Linked DNA regions of Daphnia pulex. The protein of the gene in region 1 purifies or fractionates together with the protein of each later gene. This does not show direct contact. Links are inferred from orthologs where the notes say so. Each region holds a gene or a part of one and is shown on either strand. Other genes may lie near its edges.

Region 1 (2,804 bases):
TGACAAGAGTGGCGTTAAACCCATTGAGAAACGTGAAGGTAGTGGTCCGCACAATTGGGGAAGCGTCCAAGACGAAATTGAGGGCCAGCTGGAGCCTGCTGTCGCTGAAGAGGTTGTCGAGGGAGAGGCTGAAGTCGTCGCTCCTGCTGAAACAGCTGAAGTCAAGTAAATAAGGCTTTATTTTTAAACTAATTGTTTTCCTAGCTTGAACCACTATCTACTGTGCATGGGTTCTATTTTGTTATTTTATTTCAAACTGATGAGACTTTGACGCCGAGAAAGATTTCAGAGAAACTTTCGTTGAATAAGGCAAGCCAAAAGGATGCTGACAACTTTTAAAGACTTACATTTACCATTGAAATTGTTATTAGATGTAAAATAATAATTTGAATCTTTTCCAAATTATAGGGAGGGAGAAGAGACTGCTCCAGTGGCTCCTGAAGATGAAGAGCCCAAGGAGTTGACGCTAGATGAGTGGAGAGCTCTGAGGGGTGAACGCAAGAAGCCCGAGTTCAATATTCGCAAGCCAGGAGAAGGTGAAGACAACTCTCAATGGAAAAAGACCTTTGTTCTTGACAAGAAGAAGGATGACGATGAAAGCGAAGAGGAAATTATCGATCTGACGGCCGAGTATCCTCAACGAGCTGGACGCCAAAAGCGTTTGGACATCGAGATCCGCTTCTCTGACTCGCGTCGTGGAAGCGATCGCGGTGGTCGTGGTCGCGGAAGGGGTCGCGGCGAGGGAGGATTCCGTGGTGATCGCGAAGGCGGTTACCGTGGAGGCTTCCGCGAAGGTGGAGAGCAACGTGAAGGTGGTGGATATCGCGAGGGAGGCTACCGTGGTGGATACCGCGGCGGCGATCGCGAAGGTGGAGAACAACGTGAAGGCGGCGGATACCGTGGAGGCTTCCGCGGAGATCGCGAGGGAGGCGAGCAACGCGAAGGAGGTTACCGTGGTGGATACCGCGGTGGCGATCGCGAGGGAGGCGAGACCCGTGAGGGTGGCGGATACCGTGGAGGTTTCCGCGGAGATCGCGAGGGAGGCGAGCAACGTGAAGGCGGCTACCGTGGAGGTTACCGCGGTGGATACCGTGGCGATCGCGAAGGAGGCGAACAACGTGAAGGTGGTGGCGGATATCGTGGTGGATACCGCGGCGATCGCGAAGGAGGCGAACGTGGTACTTACCGTGGCGGAAGAGGATCCCGTGGTGGTAATCGCGGTCCGTCCATGCCAGCCGCTCCTAAAGTGGACGATGAGAAGGATTTCCCGGCCCTCGGCTAAATCCTCATAGGTAACCAAAAAAATAAAACGCCTTTCTTAAACCAGCTTGAACTAATTGAATTATTATTTGTTTTAGCAGGGTTGACAGGTGTGCCCTAAAAACCACCTCTTCGTGAACACATACGAGTAGCCTCCTCCGCCAGCTCGACCAGGCTCCCCCACCACTACTCACCAATTTTTTTTCTCCTTAAAAAAAAAGAAGCCAATAACCACCACCACATCCTCGTTTATCTTAAGGATGGATAGTTAAATCAAATGACGTAGCTCCATTTCTTTTCTTTCTTTTTTTTTTGTCTTTCTCTATGCGTGTGCGTGTTCGTCGTGTATTACATTTACATCCTCGCATTCGATCCCTTCTCCCCCTCCCTGCCCCACCTCATTTCCCTCCAAGCGTCAACACCATGCCAGGTGTTAAGCAATCAAAGTTGAAGTAGTTTATTTCTTGAGAAACCCGTCCCACCTGCGTAACAAGAAAAAAAATCTAGCTCAATGAAAGCTCGAAGTACATTAATTCCTAATTGATTCTCCATATAGGAAGATTAAGTAAACAAAAAAAATTAGTATCCCTTAATGATGAAACTACTACGGGTTTTTCTCTCGACTTTGTTGGAAATATTTTTTTGTCAATTTCTCTCGCCAAACATCTCCCCGCCCCCTCCCTCCCATCCAATCAAGCCCAGTCTGGACTGTTCAAAGTATTTTGAGGACGTGAAAAAAAAATTAAGGTGTGATGTATTCTTTATCCATTTTTTTCTTCTTTTTCTCCCCCCTACAGTTATGAGTTGGAATTCTCTTGGAGCCTCCGTTCATTGAAGTATTCAAAACAAACAAAAAAAAAACGAAGTTGTGTTAATTGGTGGGGTGGTTGTGGTTATGACTTGGTTTCTTTTTTTTTTCTTTAGGAGGAGGCCTGCCCTCTTTTGTGTAGACATGTGACAGATGACGATCCGTTTCAGAAAAAATAAAAAAAAAACGCCATTTTGCGCTGAATGGAAAAGAAGTTGTCTTTGTTAACTTTCGCTTTTATTTCGTAGTAGTTTGTAGTAGAAATCAAGGTTTTGTTTTACATCTTGGCGAATGTCGGTGAGTCTTTCGACCTTGATGCGATGGATGGTATGTCGATTTACCGTCCTTCATCGTTTCAGATGAAAAGCAGACACGGGGCATCTTTATAAGAAGAACGTTGAGCGTGTTGACGTCATGGGAAATATTCTTGTCAAGTGGCGGCGGCGCTGTTTGAATCAATTTGTCTACGTCGTCGATCTAAATATGAATGACTAACGGTAACTATCGTCCATCCGGGGTTGGGCCACTATGTTAGTATGTTTGACCTTTTTCAATGATGATGGCCTTGTTAACAAACAAACTCATTTTGTAGAACTAACAATTCGGACGTGAGTTATTGGATGGCGGGAGCAAACAAGAATGTATTGCGCAGAGCTTTCACCAAGTAAGTAACGGATACAAACATTCTCTCGTGCTGAATCGGAATTATGTTGATGAAATTCATCCTCTTGTTTCT
Region 2 (3,754 bases), on another chromosome or scaffold:
GTGATACTGGAGCGTTCCTTCGTGTGATTTAAAAAAAAAAATTTAAGTAAAATTTGGTAATCAGATAATTATTTTTTTGTGAATTTGTAACATTAATTAGTTTAACCTAATCATGTATTAAATTGATTTATCGTTTAAACTGATGCAGTAGGGCAGACAAAGTGCTGTTAAAATTTGGCATCGGGTTCGGGTTACGGATGCTACTTTTGTTGGTACCGTGGATTAAGTAACAATAAAAAGGTCTAGAGGTGCATATTCTCATATGCATCGGAGAATTGTTCCGAAGCTTCCAAAAACTGCGGTAATTTTCCTGAGTTGGATAGTTCTTTTTTTTCCAATGGTCTCGACTCGAATTGGCCAAATCACGATTCAGTTTAACTCAATTTGAATCTTTTATGAATATTCGGTTTTGGGTATCCATTTCGATTCACGCTGAATTTTTACATCAAAAGATTACAGCAAATAAATCTACTTTTTGTTTTTGTTAAGTATAATCGAAATTGGCGTGATAAAATACTTTTGGAAAGAAGCAAACTATCAGCTTCAGCTGTCGTGACCGTTAGTTGTGTGCCTATATCATTCAAGTATAGCGGTAACACTTTCTTTTTCTGCTATTTAACTTCTTTTTTTTTTAATTGAGACGAATTGTTTTTAATTGAGACGAATTGAGGTTGGGATTTTTATTCTAATAAATTGTTTTCCATTAGAATGTTTTCTTTTTTTCCATTAGAATCAGCTCGAATGCGATTATTCACATATTTTTACATCCATTATGGTTTTGACTTGAAATAATAAATTCCGAGTCCTCGGGATAGCATAAGATTTCTTAAAATTTACACAGAAACTTAAGGAATTTTCTTAAGAAATGCAAACCACCGGTAATTTTTGAAACATTATTCTAGGCTCAATAGAGAGCAAGAAGTTGATAGACGATCTTTCGTAAAAGTTGATAGGTAACCATCAACATCTTATTAATCCCAATTCCCAACTGTGAAGTGTTAACCTGATTTTATGTCAAAACAAATAGGGATCGCTTTCGTTTTAGCAACATTCCATAAAATTGGAATTGTATTTTACATTATCTAATGAAATATAGTTTTAGTCTGTATTCTAATTTTTTTTAAGATGCAGTAGTTTAACGAAAGCGACACGTGACGAAAACTGACGATTGGCAATAGAAAACCAACTCTGAGAAAACGTTGATCATTAGAATAAATCTGGCAAGGGGAAACGAGTCATAGGCATTGCAATTTGGAATTGAGCAATTTGGCAACGGTGTTCGAGCTCCCCGAGGAAAATGGAGGATCTTGCCGTTGAAGTCCGGGGTGAAAATGGGGCTTGGTATAAGGTGAATAATAAAATACATATTTATTAATTTCTGTAGCAATGTCAATTCTGTATAAATTTGAATTATTTCTTCTGGATTCATCATGTATAACGATAATATTGTTTATAGTCTTTTAAGTCCGAAAATGTTAGGCTGGAATCGGTAGTGAATGAACCGGCCCTGCCCTTTTTGATAATATGGCTTGGCTTGTAGAATTTGTTAGTATTAAGGATTTACCGACTGTTTTGATGCAAATTTCTACGTCCTTTTTTATAAATTTTCATAGCTGTGTTTAGTTTGTCTTATTTTGTGTTATAACTATTTGAATTTTATGCCATCTTCTACAGGCATTTGTCACTGATGTTCATGAAGATGAGATTTCTGTTGCATTTGAGAATGAGTATGTATATTAAATAAGTTAGAATTTACCAAACCAATAATTACCCTTTTTTATTAGTTGGCAGCCAGAAACAAAGTTTCTATTTTCAAGGTCCCGCTTACCTCTCAAGGACAGCAAAGGTCCATTTACATTTGTAGAAAACCAAGAAATTGAAGTTTACTCAAAAGCAAATGAACAGGAAGCATTTGGTTGGTGGAAAGCTGTTATTAAGGTAATTTTCTTGATTAATTCATTTTTAAAGGAAACAAGAAAATATTTCTGAAAGATGATCTAGAATTAATACATTGAAATTCATTGGTATTTATTTTATTCTTAGATGATCAGAGGAGAGTTTTATGTCGTGGAATATGTTGGCTGGGAGATGTCATATTCGGAAATAGTACCTGGTGAGAGAATTCGTCCATCAAACACCAATTCACCTTTAACAAAAGCCAACTTTTTCAAATTTGAAATTGAGGTGCCTGAAGAACTACGGGAATAGTGAGTTTTACTTACACTTGTTAACTTAACAAAACCCAAAACAGTATTAATTATTCAAATGAAATGAGAAAAACAATATTTATTTGGTGTATACCAAAAACACCTAAACCAAATTGTAATTGCACCACTATCTGTTTCAGTGCTAAGAGGGATGGAGTACACAAGGAATTTCAAAAAGCGATTGAAGCAGCCGTCTGTCGATATGTACCCGATAAAGGAATGCTTAGTGTTATGGTAAGTTTTGTTTTTCTTTATTTATTGATCTGGTATTAATGTATTAATGTTTTTGATTGTTCAGTCACGGCACGAATCCAGTCGAAAGCGAGCTGGTCTGTTGCAGGATATGCATTTTCGTAACCTGACGCAAAAAGTGGTGCTGCTCAAAAGAACTGAAGAAGCTGCTAAACAGCTCGAATGTACAAGAACACATTCTAGCGGAGGGTGAGTGAATAGCGTCAACAGTTTTTTGCATTTCTTACTTAAGTTATCTTATTTCTGAAGCTTTACGGAGGAGTTCACGGTGAGGGAGGATTTGATGGGATTGGCTATTGGAGCGCATGGAGCCAACATTCAACAAGCTCGAAAGATTGATGGGATAACCAACATTGAGCTATTGGAGAATTCCTGTACCTTTCGTATACACGGAGAAGTATTTCATTTACCGCCTTATTTTATTTCATGTGGTTTTGTTGTAATTGGTGGTTTCGAATTTCAGATTGAAGATTCAGTAAGAAAAGCTCGTGGAATGCTGGAATATGGCGAAGAATCCATTCAGGTGCCTCGGTTTTTGGTCGGAAAAGTCATAGGAAAGAACGGGCGTGTCATTCAAGAGATTGTCGACAAGAGTAATGTTGTCCGGGTTAAAATTGAAGGAGACAACGAACCTAATCCGACTCATCCTCGCGAAGATGGATTGGTTCCATTTGTGTTCGTGGGCACAGTGGACTCCATAGCCAATGCCAAAGTCCTTCTCGAGTATCATCTAGCACATTTGAAAGTACGAAATTTTAGTCTAGTTCCTCCTAGTATCACCATTTGTAGCCTCTCTTTGCAACGTTTTTGTTTCTATTCATTCAGCATGGTTGATTCCAAATCAGTATTAATTATACTTGACATGGTTACTTTCTGTAGCAGTAGACAATCATACATTGAGTTGTCATCCCCCTAAAGATTTTTAAGCTGCTGTATTAATTACTCTTTTTTGACTGTTTCCAGGAAGTGGAACAATTACGCATGGAGAAATTGGAGATCGATCAGCAACTTCGCTCTATTCACAATAGCAACCTAACATCTGCCCCTACCTTCCCACCTCCACGACGCATTGATAGGTATTTTGGCTGTTTGTTTGTTTGTTTTATTTTAAATTTCTTGGCATTCCTCCAATTAAATTTATTTTTAGGGGGTATAGTGCTGAACCAGATAATGGAGGAAATCGTGACCGAGGAAACATGACACGTGGTCGGGGTCGAGGTGGAGGGAGAGGAGCACCTGTCAGCAGTGGTCGTTTTGTGGAAAGATTTAATGTGGAAAGAAGTGGGATTGCATCA

The links. The genes of interacting proteins can lie anywhere in the genome.
Region 2: the proteins of TATA-binding protein-associated factor 2N-like (region 1) and fragile X mental retardation syndrome-related protein 1-like purify together in Drosophila melanogaster (affinity purification with western blotting; 4 studies listed by BioGRID, with this or other methods). This does not show direct contact. The link is inferred for Daphnia pulex from reciprocal best matches to the Drosophila melanogaster genes vig and Fmr1.

The regions. Positions count from the first base shown.
Region 1 is NC_060019.1:5,854,524-5,857,327, reverse strand, and holds the end of TATA-binding protein-associated factor 2N-like, read left to right. Parts: coding exon 1-165; intron 166-408; coding exon 409-1,282; 3' UTR 1,283-1,292; intron 1,293-1,358; exon of another isoform or gene 1,359-1,361; 3' UTR 1,362-2,282; downstream 2,283-2,804. Other genes in the region: uncharacterized protein LOC124191497, read left to right, coding at 2,689-2,732.
Region 2 is NC_060025.1:5,457,517-5,461,270, reverse strand, and holds the start of fragile X mental retardation syndrome-related protein 1-like, read left to right. Parts: upstream 1-1,187; 5' UTR 1,188-1,297; coding exon 1,298-1,348; intron 1,349-1,674; coding exon 1,675-1,727; intron 1,728-1,784; coding exon 1,785-1,938; intron 1,939-2,043; coding exon 2,044-2,207; intron 2,208-2,347; coding exon 2,348-2,441; intron 2,442-2,505; coding exon 2,506-2,648; intron 2,649-2,708; coding exon 2,709-2,856; intron 2,857-2,922; coding exon 2,923-3,204; intron 3,205-3,422; coding exon 3,423-3,535; intron 3,536-3,606; coding exon 3,607-3,754. UniProt on the Drosophila melanogaster protein: Polyribosome-associated RNA-binding protein that plays a role in neuronal development and synaptic plasticity through the regulation of protein synthesis of mRNAs.